Linked DNA regions of Oreochromis niloticus. Each later gene encodes a partner of the first gene's protein in a complex. Links are inferred from orthologs where the notes say so. Each region holds a gene or a part of one and is shown in the gene's direction. Other genes may lie near its edges.

What was found.
Region 2: kif11 (region 1) and mysm1 share a complex: the UniProt entries of both Homo sapiens proteins name them as parts of the large chromatin remodeling complex. The link is inferred for Oreochromis niloticus from reciprocal best matches to the Homo sapiens genes KIF11 and MYSM1.

What each region holds. Positions count from the first base shown.
Region 1 is NC_031978.2:1,174,567-1,185,521, reverse strand, and holds the start of kif11 (kinesin-like protein KIF11), read left to right. Parts: upstream 1-6,717; 5' UTR 6,718-6,916; intron 6,917-7,060; exon of another isoform or gene 7,061-7,088; 5' UTR 7,089-7,097; coding exon 7,098-7,171; intron 7,172-9,539; coding exon 9,540-9,669; intron 9,670-9,962; coding exon 9,963-10,060; intron 10,061-10,170; coding exon 10,171-10,249; intron 10,250-10,955. UniProt on the Homo sapiens protein: Motor protein required for establishing a bipolar spindle and thus contributing to chromosome congression during mitosis. Required in non-mitotic cells for transport of secretory proteins from the Golgi complex to the cell surface.
Region 2 is NC_031986.2:38,663,647-38,674,509, reverse strand, and holds the start of mysm1 (histone H2A deubiquitinase MYSM1), read left to right. Parts: upstream 1-5,375; 5' UTR 5,376-5,442; coding exon 5,443-5,498; intron 5,499-5,691; coding exon 5,692-5,764; intron 5,765-5,842; coding exon 5,843-5,913; intron 5,914-6,261; coding exon 6,262-6,336; intron 6,337-6,432; coding exon 6,433-6,517; intron 6,518-6,667; coding exon 6,668-6,766; intron 6,767-6,968; coding exon 6,969-7,488; intron 7,489-7,567; coding exon 7,568-7,802; intron 7,803-7,882; coding exon 7,883-8,013; intron 8,014-8,117; coding exon 8,118-8,221; intron 8,222-8,313; coding exon 8,314-8,391; intron 8,392-8,480; coding exon 8,481-8,563; intron 8,564-8,654; coding exon 8,655-8,709; intron 8,710-9,374; coding exon 9,375-9,425; intron 9,426-9,518; coding exon 9,519-9,593; intron 9,594-9,693; coding exon 9,694-9,882; intron 9,883-9,988; coding exon 9,989-10,121; intron 10,122-10,274; coding exon 10,275-10,380; intron 10,381-10,510; coding exon 10,511-10,568; intron 10,569-10,682; and 1 more. Other genes in the region: suco (SUN domain-containing ossification factor), read left to right, coding at 47-102, 532-921. UniProt on the Homo sapiens protein: Metalloprotease with deubiquitinase activity that plays important regulator roles in hematopoietic stem cell function, blood cell production and immune response.

The sequences.
Region 1 (10,955 bases):
TCGTGATCTTCTTCTTGTGGCATAAGAAGTTTAGACACTCGTATTTCTAAATTTCGGAGGAACATCCTCATCTGAGCTCGCCCACTCAGCCCGGGACCCTCTGTGATGCAGGTCCAGCACTTAGAAACTCTCAGAGTCACAGATGCCCCGATGTCTGGGGATCTGCTGTGGCAACAAAAACCACACCGCATGCACAGACATGTTAATTTGCAGTATCACATTATCTACTATTATTAAGGCAGCACAGGGAATTTGCCAAGATTTATTAAATAACGGATAATTATACTGAGTTATGAGGTTGATCAATCCATGAAAGCTGGTGCTACTAATTCCTACAGGTGTTCCAACATTTCTGGATTACTTACAGGTTCATTATGCAGGATCTTTGTACGCCGTCGAGTACAAAGACACAGTGTGTGGCATCAACTGTCAAACATGGAGGAGGCAGTGTGATGGTCTGGGGCTGTTTGCTGATCCAGGGTCGGTGACTTGTACACAGTGAGAGACACCATGAACCAAACCAGCTACCACAGCATCCTGCAGTACCATGCAGTAGTCAAGTATTTATTATTAACCCAACAATATTGACTCACGTATGCAGTGGGATGAAATATCGTCCTCCTGGATCAAAGGTGCAAACTGTAACAATAAAATGAAAAAATTAAAATATACATTTGTACAACTATACAGAAATAAGATAAACTAAGAATAAGTACAAGAGTATTGCACTTGAATAGAAAAGAATGAGAATAAATAAATACAATATTACACAGAATAAATACAATACTCAGAGTCGAACAGTATAATACAGAATAGTGCCAGTGTTGGAAGAGAGAGGAGAGTGTTATGTGGTCCAAGAAGTGTGTATACTCTCTGGTATGGACTAGAGATGGACCGATCCGATATTACGTATGGGTATCGGTCCGATACTGACGTAAATTACTGGATCGGATATCGGAGAGAAATACAAAATGTAATCGATCCATTAAATATCAAAAAAGCACCTCAGAAAACTTGCGACACGGCGTAACTCGCCTCATAACCGTAGCACGTCGGAGCAGTGTGCTCACGTGATAGAGCGGCTGTGTGTATTTGTAGCCTCGCTACCAAACCAGCATTTCATCTCCGAGGAAGTTATCCCAGAGAGAAGTAAAGCAAGTGTGTAAGTTCATCTCTGAATGTTTGTAAAGCGTTCCCATGTTAAGCTTAACAACCGATATATGGAGCGACTGCCTCTCTCTCTCTCTCTCCCTCTCTTGTTGCTACTTCAATCATGAAACTGATCAATGATCAGCTGATCGGCTTTTCTGTCGCCAGTCCGTCTCTCTTGTTTGTTTTTGGCCCACTTCACGCCAGAAAGAGGAAACAACAGCAGCACGTTTAAGCTTGATAAGCTGTTGTTAGAATGTATTTAATATTACTTTCTACACCAGGATCCTTTTCTACGTAGCTGACGTACCTGTGCAGGGGCGGATCTAGCAAAGTGTAGCCAGGGGGGCCGATAGGGCATGAACAGGGAAAAGGGGGCACAAAGACATACTTTTCTTTCTTATTCTCATTTAAAATGTCTAGCTTTTAATAAATAATTATCTGAACCTTACACCCAAAGTTTTAATCTGATGTAAAATGTATAGAAGTCCATTACTGTATATAGTAACTATTAAGTCTAATATACCCTAGTAAGCTATAGTACTTTTTCCTTTGGGAAGGTACCATCTGTGAATTCTGCAATTCTGTTGAAGAAAGATGTTGAATCTATTTAATTATTCTTGAAAAATCATTGATTTCTGTGTATTTTTTTTCACACTGCATCAAATTAAAGTTGATTACGTCGATTAAGCATCATGAGGTGGAGGGTGATTCCCTATTTTTTTTTTTTTTTTTTTGCTGGGAGTTTGCAACCCTATTAGTTAGGTTGCTTAATATTTCTGCTAAGTACTCTTTAGAATACCAGAATAGGAAGGATGGTGCAGGTTTAAGTTTATTAGATTGATCAGTATTGCTGAACTATGAAATATTTGGATGCTGTGTATTTTTTGCATACAGGTATAACAGAATAGCTTTAGTATTTTGTTTTGTTTTTTAACTTGAGTATGAACTTATTCAAAAACAGCAAGATATTAAAAAAACAGTTTTATTGATTAAAAAATACACTATATTGGATTCATATCGCCAATACCGATATGATACCATAATACCAAATTTATGGTATCGGTATCGGACATAAAAAAGTGGTATCGTGCCATCTCTAGTATGGACCTAGTTGGTGAGGGGTTCATCCAACAGCAAGATAATGACCCAACACACAAGTCCAGGCTGTGCCAGAACTGCCTCAGGAAAAAGTAGAAGATGGTGAGCTTGTAAACATGGAATGTCCAGCACAGTCTCCAGATTTAACCTTCTAGGACCTGGCGTCCACATATGTGGACATCACATTTTGGGTTGTCTGGACCAAAATACTGAATTTTACTCTACAAGAGCTTGATATCCACTTACGAGGACATTAAACTGCCTCTGTTCTATTTAAAACAAATGTCCTGGATCTCATTTTTGTCAAAAACAAAAATCAGGTAAACAAATAAAATTATCAGGTTATTCTTTGTTTTTGCATTCATCAGGTCCCAATCAGCCCAAATAGCAAAGAGAAATTAAAAATGCCATGAAAGAGTTTGGGTCTTAGGTTAAACCCCATCGAGCTGGTTTGGGATGAACTGGACAGAAAAGTAAAAGCAACCGACAGGTGTCAACGTTTACAGGAACTTGTGCAACAGATATGGGAAGAATTTTCTGAAGAATATTTTATTTCTATTGTAGAAATAATTTTATGGGTGTGTTCAGCTGCCTAAGGTGGCTACATGAATGAGTCAGAAGTTTAGAACACATGTTGGTCCATAAATTGATTCTATGATATCTTTTTTAACTCAATTGCTTATTTGTACAATCCTTTAATTTCAGAGTGCAATGAGACATTAAACTGCATCATTTTCAATTTTAAAAAAATGGGAAAATTGGGGTGTTCTGGTAATGTACACATAGTTGCATAATCACACAAATTTGTGCGTCATGACATCGCATGCGCATGCGAACATGTGGGAAGATACTCATGTCCACACCTGTTTTGGTTTTGTGACAGTTTAACTTGTATGTTCACCTGGAGCACAACGTAATCCGATAATACGTATTATGTTATTATTATGTTCTGCAGTGAGCTATGTGTTTTGATACTTTTTATTGTTTCAACACAGGAAGTGGTTAACCACACCCAACAATTTTTCAGATGAGTAACTGCACATTTTGTGATATGTTAGCTGTCCCCTAGAAAACACTCTCTGGTAGTCACGTCACACGTGTCCTCGTGCACGTCATATAATCCACAAAGTGAAGACAAACAAGCAAACATTTATTTCTAGGCTTGAAGTCACAGGAATTAGCCTGCAGCTAGTTAAAGCCTCTACTTCTACTTAACAATCAATATTAAACTAAAATATGACTTTGTAGTCAAATGAAATTCCCCATTATCTTGTGCTTATTCATCTCCATAATAATTTAAATCAAAATTATTACCAAATATATATGAAATATGATTAAAGTTAGAGAAACTTACAGACCTTTGTCTTCTAGATTAGCTAATGTTAGCTAATTAGCTAATGTTAGCTAATGTGCCTTTGATGTTTTTACTCGGCTGGTTTGGGGAAATGTTTCTTTGAATGTCCTCATCTGTGTTTAATATATTAGATATAGAATAATAGTTTCATTTTTAGCTCACTGCTTGATTTTAGCACAGCTGAAATATCCGGAGCTGCTTCTGCTTAGACGATAGAAAAACAGATTTTTAGGACGTACACTTATCGTCTGCTGACTTTATGGAGACGGTAATTTTGGTTAGAGAAAATGTTGACAAATCTTGATATGAAAAACTTTAAAAATTTCCACAAAAAAACTGCACAGTGTTTAATGAGTTAAAAAATTATGGCAACATTGCAAAAGATTTTTGAGTATCAAAAAACTTGTATGTTTTTAATTTCTTAGAACCAAGTTTGTTCAGATGTATTAATTTAAATGTCTTCACCTTAAATACATGAGCAGAAATCTTAAAATTAAGAAATGTACGACTGAACTTCTTACCTAAGGTGATGCAACTCATTAGCGTTTGCAGCTTTTACAGTGCACACAGAGTACCATTGGCACATTCTCAGGTCCCTGACTTGTTTGCTGTCATGTGCAGTGTTACTGCTTTTAAAATCCTGGAGTACAGGAAATGTGTAAGACTGTAAATCTTCTGGTCATTTTGGTTTTCGGTGTTTTGCTGTGGAGTTTCGATTATGGTTCTGATTTCACTGTTTGAGGTTTTTGGTGATATTGTGGAATTTCAGGCTCTGGTGGACTTTCCTGTCCAGATGATGATCAGTGTCTCGAGTTTGTGCCTCCCCCCCCCGTGTCGTATCTGTGTTACTGTCTTAGTTTTCATGCTTGTGTTTGGTCTCTTTTGGTTGTTTCCTGTTTTACTTTGAAGGTCAGTTTTCTTTTGTGTCCTGGGTGAGTTTGGCTTCGTTTCTCTGACTTGACCTGATGGTTCTCGCCTGCTGTTCGCTGCTTCCTCCTCTGTGCTGTTGTTGTAGATCTAGTGCTGTGTTCCTTGGCGCTTGACTCACTCGTCCACCTAAAAAAGTTTTTTGTCACCTTGTGCTGGTACCTGTGCCCTGTGCAGCTCTTCAGCACCACCAGACCTGCACCGTTTAACTTCTCCTGTGCAGGAAAAAAGGTTTCTGGTTATGGATTACAGCCAACATGTTTCTAACATGTACAGCTAAGAGTGTCTGATCAGACAAGCAGAAAAATCATTGGAGACAGTCTCCACGACAATGAACTCCAATCTGAGTTGGACTGTTCTCTTCAACAAAAGCAGGGACAAAGCTCTTTAGGTCAGATGATTTTTACTTTCTTTAAAGAGTGTTTGAGTCTTAGAGATGTTTAACTTGTGCTGAGAACAGAGAAGCAGAGATTTAAAGGAGCTGAAATGACCAAACTCGCCGTGCTTTGCATGAGGATGTAGGCAGACTTATAGTCACGATAGTCGTCCATGCCTAGATGGCTCAATAAAGCTTCTCTAAAGTAGCAGGATTGTGACTATTAGTCCAAATAAACGAGTCTCTGGTTACACTCTGCAGCTGCTGAAGTGAAAAATGAAGCGAGAGGTGCTGCAGAGTCCGACCGGAGCAGCAACGAGGACCTCCAACAGCGCTGTGAGTTGGATGTACTGTAAGATATCAGACAAAGGGAAGCTGTGTGTGTCTGTGTGTGCAATGAAGAGGTTTCCAGAGCAAAAAGGGCAACCCCCTCGCTGTCCTCAGGAGGCCGAGTGGGCGGATGGTCCTCAGCAGATGGATTGCTGCTCGCCTGCCGTCACTTCATGAACCTGGAACGGAGGCGGAGAGTGAAGTCTATCAGTGACATCATGTTTTTGGATTATTTCTTCTCTTTCTTTCTCTTTTCTACGCATTCTAGTCTGATTTAAAACCATTTGTGTGTGTTACCATATGTTATGAAGCACTTATTATGATTTTTAAGTACATTTGAGCATGAGATAATCAAAAGGTTCCTTAGAAGGAAACGTTAAAGATGAAGAGAAATGACAAAAAGCACTCAGAGAGTCATAAAATCACCTGAAACAGTCAAAAAAATAATGCACAGTCCCCACAAAAGACACAAACACATGAATAATGATAATAATGATAATAAGTTAAAGGATCATTTTGTTTCACAAAGTGATTTATGGTGTCTTTGGACTTTTATTTAGCTTGAAATTTTTAATGCTACTTAAATAATGAAACACATCAAAATATTCAATGCAACGATCGAGTCATTCACGTGGTCGGTTTTCCTCCCACAGACCAAAGACGTGATGTTAGGTTAAATAACCATAGAGACCAACACCTTTGCACAGTGAACACACGATGTCCACAAAGAAGCAAAACTGAGGGAACAAAATGAATATAAACACACAAAAGATGCAAAATGAGCAAAAAGAGCCACAGAACACAAAGAGATGAGAATGACATAGGTGAACAAAAAGATTAAAATCAAACACATAAAAACAACATAAAAGTGACACAGAGTCATAAAAAGATCTTGTTAAGTCAACAAAAAGTGCCAGAAATCCAAGCGACATGAAAGGGGAGAAAGTGCAAAGGTCATGATAAGTCTCTGATTAAGGAAAGGAACACAACAATCATTAAGAGATACTTAATTCCAACGAAAAACGTGAAAAATAAACAGAAGAAAATAGTCAAAGAGCCTAAAAGAGACAAACAACCTCAAAGACGTTCAAAAATGACCGCATGAAGAAACACTCAGTGCATCATGGGAAGCCGCCAGCATCATTCGGGTCACTTCCAGGCTTAACCATATGAAACTCAGCCTTTTTTAATTAATTGAAAGAAACACGAATCAAGTATCAAAAATCTTATGTAAAAGTCTAATTATTTATTTGGGAACATAAAAATACGTTATTATCTCTAATAGTTGTTTATAATTATAAATAAAAATCATGTTTGTTTTCGTTTAATTAAATATTTCTCAGAACAATGTCGCCACCTGCTGGACGTACATCGATATTTATATCACATCTGCTCCCGTGATGCTCTGCGATGGCAGTGTCACATGATCGTGGTACCCAATGACGGTCACGTAGTGACCGTTACTCTCCTGCTATTGGCCGATGAAAATTTAAAAGTACAGTTTGAAAAGTGTCCTGTCGGAGGTTTTAGTGCGCCAGAGAAGCTGTAGGAAAACGGCCTGTGCTGTCAGAGCAGCCCGTAAACGCTGAATTACACGATTTATTAAGATATCGAAGACTTTGGATTTATAATCGGATAACCCGCAGCGGGGGAGGAAGTGACGCGCAAACCGATATTTGGTAAGTTCTCGTTAGCTAACATTATGATGCTATTTGTCGCTTTTCTTTCGGCTCGTCACATTTAAAGCGGACAAACCGCCTCCCTGCTGTTTATTTCTGTATTGATGACTGTGCTGCTTCATTTATGTGCCGTTTAATCTGAAGTGCGTGATATAACGGTGTCCGGGAGCAGCTCGGAGCCATGTCTTCAAACGTCCAGAGCGGAGGGAAACGGGAGGAGAAGGGCAGGAACATCCAGGTGGTGGTCAGATGCAGGTAAGGAGTTAAACAGAGTTTCAGCTGTGTCTGTGTTTGCTGCTGTCAGTCACAAACATACTCCAGATATCGTAAATATCCTCAAAACATCGCAAAAAGTGCAGGAACAGCACCAAATCCACCTTAAAGCTGTATGTTCACTGGTTCAACTGCCCTCAGTGGGTGTATTTACCTGGAAGAGACCTTAAAAAGGCTAAAATTTTACTTGCAGATGTCTCAAAAAAGAGGTCACTGACATTTTACAGTCTCAGAAACTAAATGAGAACACTACCCTGAGCTTACTTGTGGAAAAATCAGCAGTTCTTGCAGTCTTAAAGTTACTATTTGACCCTCTGAGGGAACCCTAACCCATGTGGCGCCTAATTTGTCAATAAAATCTGAGTCTTTCTGTTTTACTTTCTTCTATGTTTATGGGTGTGTTAAAATGTTAAAGTGTTAAAATGTTAGTCAATCCAGAAATGTGCACACAAATGATGCAAAAATACCTGCACAACCACAGAGAAATGCAAAATGATTATAAAAATACAGGAAAAGCATGGAAATGGGACATCCAATCATAACCATCATACTAGCCTCACATGTTTGAGTCTCTCAGTATCCCAGTGCTCATGTATTTGATCTTTAAGTTATTCATCATTTTCCTAGAAGAGACCTTAAAGCGTGTGTTTTACCTCTTGGTAATTTATCATTTTTAGCATTCGGGATGAATTTCCACGACTGAGTGAAAGCCTGTTCATTCCAGTTTAATTGTACTTCAACCTGTATTAACAGGTTTAAAACCCAAGGTGAAAAAAATGAGTATAAAACCATCCTTCTCTTTTCTCACTTACACATCGGTTTGGCAGAATAAAGGTGTAATAAGTTTTTAAAAACCCAGCAGGTGGAGCAAAGACACGCCCCCGCTTGTCTAGATGCAAATATTTCAAGCACATGTCAAACACTGAGCACTAACATCGGACTAAATAGGTTTTGGGTGTTTTGGATGCTGTTCGCTATTTTCTAGCTCTCTAAGTTTTATTGGCTGTTAATTGATCCCTGAAAGTTTAGATTTGTGTGACTGTCTGTGTCGTTGGACACAAACATGGGTTTGTAGTCCCGATCCGATTACTGGAGTCGTCTTCCACGTGTTTCCATTTAACAATTATTAGTGTGAAAAGAAAATTGGTAATCCATCAGCCCCTCTGTTGGCACTAAACACTCAGCTTCACAACATTTTTTTTTTTTTTTTTTTTTGGTACCGTTAGCTCGTTAGTTCGCCAGTGTGTGAATGTGTGTGTGACTGGGTGAATGACTGAATGTAGTGTAAAGCGCTTTGGGGTCCTATGGACTAGAAAAGCGCTATACAAATGCAGGCCATTTACCATTTACCATCTCTCTATGATGTCACAGAGTACAGAAGCCCCGCCCACCAAGTTGAGGGGCAGCCAGTCAGAAGAAAGTTGGCTTGAAATGGTTCGGGTAGATAATAAACTGATGGCTCAGATAGAGGAGCTTTAAAGAAGCTTCGATGTTTTTAGTTTCTGAAACTGATTATCTCTGGATTTTTGGTTTGCGGTGTACCAGCTCTGAAACCGACACTGAGTGAGATAAGCGTCCGTAACGTCATAATCGCGGTTTGATCTTCCCGTACCCGTGCAGGCGAGTCTGTGGCGGAGGCTCAGAACACGGCACAGGAACTCTGCACTAAAACTTTAGGTCAGAAATATTGAATTTACCGTCTTTCATCCACTCAGTGCATCAGTGTCTGCTGGGTTGGAAAAACTATTGATTTTGAGTCTAAGATGATATTTAGAAACGTCTTAAAGATGTTTTGAGGCCTGCAGACGCTGATCTAATTTAAATCCCATATTTGTGCTAAATCGGTTAATTCATCTGTTCCTTCTGCTGTCCATCGTCTGGTTCGTTGTTCATGATAAGCTCACAATGTTATATGGATTTCCTTTATGTAGTCTGGTTTTCTGAGGCCTCAGAGGATGAGCATCATTGATCTGTGTATACTTAAGTCTGTGTTCTTTAGTTATCTGAACCTAAACGAGCATTAATGTGTTTTTAGAAGTCTTCATATGTAGCTCAGAGTATGTGCACAAACCCTGTGTGTATTTTAATTATAATAAGCAGTAAATCTTTATTATGGGACCTTTTTCAAAAAAATAAATGAACGTTGCTCTGACAGAAAGAAGCAGAAACTCAAACCGTGATTTTAATCTGAGCCAAAGTCAAAGCTTTGGTGTCGGCGCGCTGTGATCTTTAAAAACAGGACCGTGTGCGCCCGAGCTGATGTTAAAGCTTCATTATTATGTCTGCAGAGCTGCAGATGTCTCAGGCGTCGAGTCTTTGTCACCGAGGTTTTCCTCTGCTGCGTTTTCAGGCCTTTCAACACGATGGAGCGCAAGTCGTCCTACGGCGTCATCGACTGCGATCAAAACCGGAAAGAGGTGATGGTGAGGACGGGAGGCATGAACGACAAGGCGTCACGGAAGACCTACACGTTCGACATGGTGAGAGGAGAAATGGACACGGCGCATCCTGTGCTCGCACATCTGGCTTATACTTACATAGCTGACTTGTTGTGTCAGACTAAAAAACTGAAACCCCACAATTAGAGTCCAGGAAACTTTAGTCCGTTCTTAAGGTGAAGTAACAAAACTTGCGTTCAAATCAGAAGCGGCTCTTAGTGTCTCTCGATGAGGATTGGCTCATTGCTGCAGCTGTGTGTCCTGCTGTTGGTCCAGCGATGAGCTCACGGTCATTTCTATTTATTTGTTCTGACCGAAGCGTTTCTCTCCCTCAGGTGTTCGGTCCGTCTGCGAAGCAGATCGAAGTGTACCGGAGCGTCGTCTGTCCCATCCTGGACGAGGTCATCATGGGATACAACTGCACCGTGTTTGCGTGAGTGCTGCGCAGATATGCGAGCGTCGGCGTGAGCCGTCCCGGATGAACCGGTTTGTAATCTCTTTTGTTTCCATCTTTTTTTTTTTTTTTTTCTTTATTGATGACAGCTACGGTCAGACGGGAACAGGAAAGACGTTCACCATGGAGGGAGAGAGGAGCCCGGACGAGCAGTTCACCTGGGAGGAGGTGAGCTCGGCTTTGAAGTGGGCTCACTGGTTTACTGTATGACCCAAACCCTGCATGTGGATCTAATTCAGCCGAACCACAGAGTGTGAATGAACTGATCCTGCAGCAGCGTGTACGAAGTATAGGAAGGGGAAACATCTTGACTATCTAACATTAATAAACATTTTCAGGTTTTAAAATTCAGAGTTTTGTGATCAGTCTGACTGCATCCATCCTGAATGTGCATGAATTGGCTTTAAATAATTCCCCGTGTCCGTTTTTATGCACGTGGATGTTGGACGTCTTGTTTTCAGATCATCAGTAGCTGCTCAGACCTGCTGCTCATTTTAGCCTCAGGCTGCACTAGAGCAGCTTTGCTTGATTCATAGTTAGTAATAATCCTCCTTTGTCTTGTGCTGGGTCTCCGTACAGGCCTTCAGCTCATCCTTTACAAGCCCTCGTTCATCTTATTGGCCAGTTTCTGGAAGCCTGCAGAGGGGTAGTATGCAGTACCAGTCAGCTGTACTTTTGAGGGGGGATGTTATTGGATACTGCGTACATGCAGCCAGCTTTTTATCGTCAGTTCAGATGTGTTAATGTGTCAAATAACCAAAATAAAACATGTTTTATTTACAAGTTTCACAATTGGCAACGAACGAGGGTGACAAACGTCACCACAGCTCTGTTTGTGCACGTGCGCTTAAATAAATGTTAATTATTGTGGAAT
Region 2 (10,863 bases), on another chromosome or scaffold:
TGTATCCCATTCCATCATTAACCTAGCCCCTTTCTCCCCTCCCCAGTAGGTCCAGATGACTTGTACATTGTAGAACCTCTAAGGTTTTCTCCAGAGAAAAAGGTACAGTGTCTGTTGGCTGTGATGGCCATCGTATACAAGTACTGTGTGTTTTTGTAGTCTCAATGAGTCTTTCTAATACGTCTGTTTTAGAAAAGGGAATTCCTTATTTTGTGGAGTAAATGAGATGAGGTATCAGCTGAGCAGTGAAAAGAATTAGCGAAATGCCCCTTAGCAACTTTTTGGCTTGCAGTGTGTGTGTGTATTTGTTTGTACACTGCCAGCTTTATTCGCCTCAAGTTTTTAATATTTTTAGAGAAGCAGATTGAGTAATGTGTTTTTGTTTTTCCCCCTCATTTTTAAATTCCATCATTCCCTTTTGAACTTTCCCACCTTCCTCCGGCTATTGTTTGTGACTTAACATTATTAGATGTTTAGTTTGCTGCTGAACTTTCTTAAATAATTTCTCCATCTCTTATGTTTACCTTGCAGAAAAAACGCTGCAAGACAAAGTCTTTGGACAAAGTTGAGACTCTGAAGGCATTCGATCCTTCTGCTCTCCTCACTAACAGGGATCCCAAGTGTAACGGCTTTCACCCGTGTCTCCCTGCGCCACCATCCTCAACACGCCCCCTTCCTCTTCCTCCTCCTCCTCCTCCCCCTCCTCCTCCCTTGCCTCCTCCCCTTCAACACCCCAGGAGGGCCCATTATTGCCCCGTCGTGCCTCCAAGGAGTTCCCCTCAGAGACTAGCAGCTGCAGCTCGTCCACCCATTCTGAGGAGTCGTACGCTAGCCGGCTCCCCCCTCCCTCTCCCGTCTTCCCCGCTGATGGCGTGTGCAACGGCCACGGGCTTTCTTTCCCCTCAGCCAGCCGGTTGCTAAGTCCCGTCAGGAGAAGCGCTCAACGAAGCGGCGGAAGTCTCGACAGACCGAGCTGCAGTTCCCGCACATGCCAGCGGGGAGCGTTGGTTCTCTGCCCAGCCTGCAGCAGCTTATGAAGGGAAACAAGGAGATGAGTGTCGGGACCATCGGGGTGACAGCCGTCACCGGACATGTCTGAATCCTCACGCGTCACCTTTACACGATTATCTGCTCACACCTGTGCACACACTACACGGTAGCAGACATGACAGACAGAAGAGGTCTTACCACATCCCAAAGAACCACATTTCCCATGAGCACCCAGGCGCACCGTGGAACTGAATTGGCTATGGCAGCAGTAGCTCGACGTCATTCAGTTCTTATTCACTCCTGTCAAAGACCCGTTTACGGTTATGTGCCTTTATATCTGTTCTAGACCTTCTAACTCTTAAAAACATGAAATTTAAACAGTTGTTGATGTGCACAAAAAGACACTGTGATAGGAAGTGAAACACCAAGAAGAGTCAAAACTATTGATGTGTGTTTGAGAGATTTTATTTTATTTTCATTTTTCTACTGGATAAGCACATTTGACCCATGAAAGTGGAGCACCAGTGAATTCATTTCCCCACTCTGAGCACAGTGAGGAGAGGTGCTGGTCTCAACTCTGTGTTCCTTGAAAAGTATTAGGCTGCTCTTTGGGATGAAATATGTCATTATAAAGAGGACTGTGGAGCATGACAAATGACTTCTCTTATCCTTATTTCCTCCTGTCTTTCTTTGCCATCATTTAACCTTGTCCATCCTGCCTTAGTCTCGAAATGACTGCAGGTGTTTGTTTGGGACCAGTGGGTAAAACAGTCTCGTTCTCGCCTTCTGTCTCTGTCAGTTTGTTCCAAACCAACCACGAGAGCTGAATGAAGAAAAGTCTACATGAATGTCTTAGCCCTTTTCTTTTCTTTTTTTAAGTGTCTCATTTAACTTCATAAAACAAATACAGTAGCAGCAGTCCAGCTCCTGTAGACCCTGCTCAGTTAGTTTGGGCTGGGCCCAAAAACGCTGTCACATTAGATTTTGTAACTGATAAAACAGCTCAGAGGCAAGAAGCTGTAATATAATTGTTTCATTACTTTTACAGTTCTTTCATTTGTAACTGAGCCATGTTTCTCTTAGCATTGCTGGTTCGGCTTGTTTGAGTTGCTGTCAGAGCCAGTATGGGGCTAAGTGTTTCCTGTTAAGGGCACAGTTTACTGTAGGGTAACCTTGGATAACGGAGCTGAATGTTTACACACACGCACACCCTCTCGTGGACCTTGCAGATGGGTCTGACAGATCAGCTTTATTTATCTATTTATTTATTTAAATGAACAGAGAATTTTCTAACCTAGTTGCTGGTTTGCCAGTCTCCCAGTCTTGCAGCGTCACAGTGGCTCAATGCAAGTTTGTTACATAGAATTATTACTCAGTGGTACTGACACATACAGTCATGGTGGATGGCTCAAACACATTTGCTTTCTTTCGTTTTATCTTACCTTATAACAACTTCTAATTGTACTCAGCTCAGCCTGAAATATCGGACAGCAATCGCATTTTATATCCAACAGAATAACAGTTAGAGGTTACATGTATGTTAGGAACACGCTGCTGCTTCTGTGTGTGTTCAGAGCTGCTGGAAAGTTGGAGATGCTTTATTTAGGAAGAAAAGAGGCTATAATGATGACTGTAGTACTGTGCTGTCTTCTTTGCGTTTCAGCATCTCTGCTGGATTGGCTAACTGATTTTATGTTACCCTGGCTGTTTTGTTAATGTATATTCAATATAACAATTCAGCAAAAACACTGCAGGAAGTTGCAGATTTGACAGGAGCATATTTGTTTTTGTTTGCTTTTAAAGAATAAATTTAATAGGGTTTTTTTTTTTTATCCCCCTCTCTATTTATGCAATTTCATAAAGGTTCTGCATGGTTGGCGTTGGACATCTTGACAGACAGAATTTTCTTCTAATGCTACCATCCCATAAGAGTGTCATTACCTGTTCTGACCAGCTTCTACTGCTCTTCTTTCCTTACATATCTTTATCCAGAAATGTCACCTCTGACCCCTTGTGCACGACTTCTGTCTGTGACTGTGAAGAAAACTTTAAATATGCCTGCTTTGATAAACCATTCTACCATGTTCCTATTAGCTTCAAATGCTTGTTCATTCTGCTTGCCTGCTTTTCTGTCTAGCTTTTTTTTTCTTGTGCATTCTTACTCTGGCCGTACACTCCTTTTACGTCTTTTATTCGCTTGTCATTGCTCTTTGATGTCACGTGTTTGCCCCACATCGAATGACAGCAGTGGTTTTTGAGGAAGAAATTAATTGTTGCTGAATAAAAGGGAACGCAGTAAAGATTAATCCAATTCAGAACACTATTAATGTGATTACTTATGTTCCAGGAGCGGAGCAAATCCAGAGGGTTTTTTTTGTTTTGTTTTGTTTTTTTTTTAAATCCCTGTTTGAATGTGTAATATGTTTGTGTGTAAACCTGTACGCATGTGAGATTATTTTTTTCTTGTCTCGTGTGTGTGTGTGTCTGTGTTATGAAAAAGACTACTTTAAATCGATTTAAACACATAACACGGCAAACAACAAGAAAGCACTTTGAGAGAAATTCTAAACGCTCAGTGTGCACTTTGTATGACTCCTTATGCCTTTTTGTTTTTCTACCCTTTATGTCAAGTGCTACCTTCTCTCTCTCTCTCTCGCCCTCTCTTTGTCTCTGTGAGTACTCTGAAGAGCTGCACAGTATTTTTGAGCAGGAGTGAGTTACTACAAAAAACTGTAGTGCCATTAGAAACTGTGAATTCTTTCTAAATAAAATGTTTTTGTTTCTTTGTCTTTCATTGGTGTCGTTTCATTTTCTCATTTGATGGATGTTGGTAAAGAACTATGAGATTTAAACAGATTTTAGCATAACTGCTATTTTACGTCTGTTGTCCCTAGGCAGGAAACATTTTAATAAAGAGAAGTAGTGATAGCAGTATACAGATTTGGGTATATACACATGCTTCATTCATAGAACCCCATCCTCAGTTTTAAAAGTAATTTGACAGTTGACTTAAAAAGCAATTAATGGCCATATGACACCTGTTGCTTTGTTCTTTTATGATAAAATGAGTATCAGGAGCGACCACATCAACAATCTGGCGCATTCTTAAAAAGAATGAATACGCTGTCCAGCTCAGCAACACCAAGAAAAACCCTTCACAATATCTAACCAAATCAGGAACACCCTCAAAGAGAGAGGCTTATCCTCAATCTACAATTAAGAGAAACTTTCAAAAATGCAAATACAGAGGGTTTATAAAACGCTGTAAACCACTGGTTACAGAGCAAAATGTGGCGAAGGTAAGGAACACCACATGACAAAGGATACTGCATCATCTGTCAAACATGGTGGGGGCAATGCTGTGGCATGGGTGTGTATAGCTGCCACATTAAGTGGATCATTAGTTTATTGATGTGACTGCTGACAAAAGTAGCACGGGGCTATACTCTCTCCTCAGATTCAGCAAAATTATGCAAAAACCGATCAGACAGCTTTATAGTGCTAATGGATAATAACTCAAAACCGTCTCAAGGCAAATGGCATAGTCCAAGTCAGTGAAGATCCATGAAGAAGGAATAAGGTGGTTGTGGTAAAGGTCTAGCACAGTATCTCAAGGGAAGGGAAACAGATTCGGTCATATCAAAATGCTGTAGATATCACCAAATGTGGATATGCTGCATCTGAAAGGATTCTAAACCTCTAGTAGACAATGAATGTAAGTTTTAAAAGGAATCCTCATATTTAAAGCTGTTTTCTTTTTTCACTGACTTTCAAACCCTCCCCAGGCTTTTATGCCTACTCATTCCTATGAGTTTCTAGGAAATCACTATCCAGCTATATTACGTTGGGGGAAGAAATCTATCAATAAAATATATAATATTACATATGTAATAGCAGTATATGTTTTAATTTGATGAATTAGAAGTCTAATAAAACTGAACATTAAAGTGCACATCTTATGCTAATTATTATTTATTTACTTATTTATCTTGCGGCGAGCATCACAATGATTCGCGGTCTAAAATGAGCCATTTTTACCCCCTCTTACTGCAGGGACAGCTTCCCTTTAGGCTGACTTGCTGCCGCTATTAAACAGAAGGTTTAAGAGTGGGTAGTTGGGGCTGTTGTGCTCATGATATCCTGTAAAAGGTCTCATGACATGACATATGACATCATATAGATCCAAGAGAAGAAATAAGCGCATTTAGAGCACTCTGAAGCCTGAACCTTAGGCTAACAAGGTTTTATTATAAGCGTCCAATATAAATAATAATAAAAAAGCATAATAAGCCCACTTTAAGGTGAATTTAAACCAGAAGGTGGCAGTAAAGCAACATTAAACGTATTAAACGACATCCAGCCACAGGGTGTCGCTGTGAGTCACACTGCCCTCTGTTCTCCTTCAGCGCGCCTTCTCTGTTTTCTCTCAGCTGTTTACGTTTATCGAGTAACATGGAGGACGAGGTGGATGTTGACATTGAAGGAGATGACTTTGATAACAATATTGGGTAATAACGCCTGCTTATTTGGATTAATTGATGGCTGTGCTGTTTGGTGGGCTTCTGTGCTGTGGTCTACGCGAGTTAGCGGTGACCCGGATGTTGGCGCAGGCAGGATAACAGCAGCTGGGATTAGCTCTGTAGGCGGCTGGATGGTGTACGTCTGCTCTGCTGATCACAGCTTCTTTCCTCGCTGTTTTAGGGAGATGGACGGAGGAGGTTTGGTGCAGGAGCAGTTCATGCAGCCTACGGGGAAGAGCAGCGCCTGGATATTGGTATGACTTCTTCAAGCTCAGTTGTTTTTCTACCTGCGTCGGGTGCTCGTGTTGACTCTCCGTCTCTCGTTTGTACAGCCCTGGGAGCTGGACAGCTCCATCAGCCCGGAGAACAGAGAGGTGATAGAGAGGATGCTGCTAGAGGAACAGTATCCTTTTTCTGCCTTTAAACGCACCACACAGTGATGCATTGAGGTTAACTACAGGAATCACAGGACGCAGCTGGGAGCTAATAGCTAATATTAGCCCATGCTGTGGGTAATTTAAATATACAGACAGATGACAAATTAAAAGAAAAAAAAAAAGTAACGCTTGACCTAGTAAATGGAATTATAGTGGGGTAATGTGTTATATGTTATGTTCACTTGTCCTGTTAGTGCACGAGTAACCGAAAACATCTCAACATAGTTTCAACCAGTAGTTACATAGATTTAGATAGTTTAAATACTAGTTTTGTTGCTGGTTATGAAATCAGTTGTCCTTAACTATAATTGAAGATATTACCTGACAGGTAAGGAGATTCCTGACCACATTTGGCACAGTGATGCTCACAAAAACCCCAAAGTGAAAAAGTGAGTGATTTCTTCCATCAGCCTTCACCATGATCGCACTACACTGATTCCTCATTTGCTTGGTATTCATGAACCCCTCTATGTGTGGACATTTAGGTCTCCGGCCAAGAACCTGGCTTCGTCTTCTGGTTCAGCCTCTCGATGGTCCCAACAGGAGAAAGAACTGTTTGAGGAAGGCCTGGTATGCTTCCTCTGCAAGTTAACTTTTGTGTCTGAAATATCATTTCTGTTTGGGAAGGTCGGCCTTTAATGGATTCAATAATTGTTTTAAGTGAGTCAGATTGTGTGTATTGTTCAAATTGTTAAGTTGCTGAGGTGTGTTGTTCTACAGGCTCGGTTTGGTCGAAGGTGGACTAAGATTGCTAAGCTTATGGAAAGCCGTACCGTTCTTCAAGTCAAGAGTTACGCCAGGCAGTATTTTAAACATAAGGTAAACATAAGTCCACCTGGATTATACTAACAGCACAAGACAGATTTCTGTTATGTAAGCTTAATTGTAGTCATCCGCAGATATAAACCTGCAATTTAGTCCAACTACATATGCTCATATGCAACCAGAATGAGTCCTTAGCAATGGTATGTTGGAAAATAAAAGTAAAGAATAAAGAGACTTTCGTATACACATTTTTCAGGCAAAATCAGAACCTGGTCCTGCGGCTCCCTCTGTAGCTCCCATAATACACCTACAACCTCCTCAGCCCACCTCCAGTCAAGTGTCTACTCTTGCCAACGCTGTCCGCATAGAGAAGCTTTCTGACGATGAGGATGAGGATGTAGACATCACTGACGACATGAGTGATGATGAAGAAGGCAATAAACTGCAAGCAGTCCTCAGCAGTGACTGTGGGCCTGAGGAGAAAACAGACTCTGGGAGTCAAAGCCCCACAGAAGAACATGTAAGTTTGAGTGGGGTAGAGAGCATCCAGGAGACGAAGGAGAAACCCAGCCACAGCTCTCTTTCTCCACAAAGTCTTCAACCCTCATCTTTCCCTGGTTGCTCAGAAGATCCTGGAGTAACAGAGCAAGATGAGAAGGTCAACAAGACGGCATCGGTATTTCCACAAAGCTGTCAGACACCACCTCATACAGACTCAAAGGAGATGTTTTCAGCAGGGATTGCTCAACTGGAAGAAGCCTACAGTGATGGAATGGGTGCTTCACACTTACTGTGTTTTGTGTATTTACCTCACAGTCATAGGACAAATTAATAACACACATTTTGATCTCCTAGATTCTGCTGACAAGTTTGAGAAGAATCTAAATGATAGACCATACAAAGACCAGGAGGAGGAGGAGAATGAAGATGATGAAGAGGAGGAGCTGAAGGCCCCTGAACAAGAAATAGAGATGGACACAGAGACCATCACCGAGGATGAGAAGCAGGCTATCCCAGAGTTCTTTGAGGGGCGACCATCAAAAACCCCTGAAAGATATCTGAAGATTAGAAACTATATCCTGGATCAATGGTAAACTAAGCATACATGTTCGATATCTTTGTTTACACAACTTTGCACAGAAAGTGGTTATTACTGTTTTTGTCCACTAGGTTGAAGAGCAAGCCTAAGTACCTAAACAAGACATCGGTCCGCCCTGGTCTAAAGAACTGTGGAGATGTCAACTGCATTGGGAGAATACACACCTATCTGGAACTCATTGGAGCAATCAACTTCAACTGCGGTAAGTCTGTGTCTCTGAATCTTTTACAGCATCTGGTTTTGGTCTTCTGATCTGTGAATTTTTATCTTCTTTTTGATGTTAAAGCTCTGACTTCCTTTTTGTAGAGCAAGCTGTGTACAATCGTCCAAAGGTGATGGACCGCTCCAAGCATAAGGAAGGCAAAGATGTACTGGAGGCCTATCAGCTCGCCCAGAGGCTGCAGAGCATGGTAGGTACCCATAAAGCAATAGACGCTGACACTGGAAGCATTTAAATTTTAAGCATGCCAGAACTTGACTTGTAACTTCTGACTGGTTGTAGCGAACCAGGAAGCGGCGTGTGCGGGACATTTGGGGGAACTGGTGTGATGCTAAAGACTTGGAGGGACAGACATATGAGGTATGGACACTGCACAACAACTTTTAATCAAATTACGACATAGATTGTTACTAATGATGTTTACCGATTCTGTGTTTTTTCTTTATCAGCATCTAAGTGCAGAAGAATTAGCTCTACGGAGAGAGGAGATGAAGAAGCAGCCTAAACCTTACAAAATGTCCAGATACCGAGGGTGAGCACAGTGGACTGATGCAAAATGTACCAAATTATAAACACAAGGAGGTTTATGATGTGGATGTTTATAATGCCACTCTATCCACCAGCTCTTTTGACCCCTTCCAGCTGATTCCCTGCAGATCTTTTGAAGAGGATATAAAGGTCAGTGATCATTCTTATCAAGATTTTTCACCGATACACTGACTAACCACACCACTTTTAAAAAAAAAAAACCCCTGAAAAATCCTGGATGTGTCTGTAGTTGTCGTGGCCTCCATTGATCAGGCTTGTTCTGTTGCATCTTGCAGATACAGAATGGATACTAGACTATTTGTCTTGTTTCTTGAGAAATTCTTCAGGAGATTTTTCAATGTAATTAGTCCAACTGGGGTAGACTAATGAGGAAGTGCCATTTTCATGGGGATGGGGAATGCTTAATCTGCAGTAAATGGGTGGTACATGTCAAAATTACATCCACATGAATACCACCACAGGACTTCTAATGGTGCCTTTGCTCCAATTGAAAGCACACATCCCAGGTTAGGTGGGCAAAGCTAAATTCAGTGTGATGTCAGTGTGTCTGTTGTTGGCCCTGTGATGGACTGGCAGACTCTCCAGGGTGCTCATTGCCTCTTGCCCTATGTCAACTGGAATATACTTCAGCCCAGCCTATGTTGGATAAGGAGTTAAGAAAATAGTAGGTGACTGGATTATTAGATATACCTTATATTATATTTTCTTCATTTTTTTTGTTCCATAAACTAAGAGGATCCTTTCTCCAAAGTAGTCATCAATTATTCTAAGCTGTTCTTTACTGATCACCCTAGGAACCATTCCAGGTTATAGTCTGTGCTGAGACTCTTCTCATCATGGATATGGTATGTTATACACACAATCACAAGCTGATTAGTTTTTTTCATATATGTACAACAGGTTTTACCTATATTGACAGATAACTTTTCTGTAATCAGCATGCACACGTGTCAAGGGGGGAAGTCATTGGTCTGCTAGGTGGAACTTTTAATGAAGAAGCAAAAGTATTGAAGGTAGGTCAAGAAGTCTGAACCAATGTGACAAACAGGATAAAACTTTTAATAACATTATATTCAGAAAAATATATTTTGTGACTAATAAATCTGTGTTTAGATCTGTGCAGCAGAGCCATGTAACAGTGTGAGCACAGGTCTGCAGTGTGAGATGGATCCAGTGTCTCAGACACAGGCCTGTGATGTGCTGTCATCCCTGGGATTCAGTGTAGTGGGCTGGTACCACTCGCATCCCTCCTTCCACCCTAACCCTTCACTGCGAGACATAAACACGCAGCACCAATTCCAGGTAAAATTGACTGAATGAAATAAGTTTGCACCTGACTTACTTGTGAACTTCTGGTTTTATTTTCACTTCTGGTATTATTATTATTTATTTATTTTTAATCTTTCAGAGTTATTTTTCACGTGGTGGAGCCCCGTTTATTGGGATGATAGTGAGCCCATATGATCCAGCTAACGCCTCCCCCCACTCCCAGACGACCTGCTTATTGGTAAAAGAGAACCAGGAGCCTTCAGGCCCCCAGAGTAAGTCTAACACACATATACATGACTCAAACTTCAAAACAGTTAAGATCAAGAGGCTTTGAAATCAAGCTGACAATGTAGGTCAGTGATTTTGTGTACGCAGTAACACACTTTATCCTCTGGCTCAGTCTCTCAGCCTCTGTTCCTCCCCAGAGCTGCCGTACAGATTCGACTTCCTGTCATCACAAGACATCCCCAACTGGGATCAGACGATGAGGAGGGCTCAGTGGATCATCCACAAATATTCTCAAGCACCAGGGTGAGTGAGACACAAGACTGTATTGTCTAATCTTGAACTGATGCCCCAAAGCTGATCCTAAATTTTATTGAAATTTTTTTTGGTGGTGTGTCTAAGCATTTTATTTTTTATTTTTGCTGTGGCTGGTCAGGAGTGTGCAGATGGACAGACTATTCCGGAGAGACTCCCATCTCACATGTTTGGAGAAGGTCAGTTCGACCATCAGTCCTCCCAGTTTGCAAATTTCAGTGACTATATGGAGTGACTTTGAGCTGCTTTTACTGTTTTAATGTCTGCCTAACTACACAACCTTCCCCATGTAGATGCTGGCATCACTGGCAAGGTACTTGGAACCCCTCCCAGATGAGGTGGGAGACTCCTTTCTCACCCAGATCCAGGCCCTTTTCAAGTCTGACTTTATTTCCAAGCAGCAGTTGCCTGATTGTGAAGAAGGAGAACCTTTAAATATCTCATCCAAACTGGTGGACTCGGGCGAACTAACTT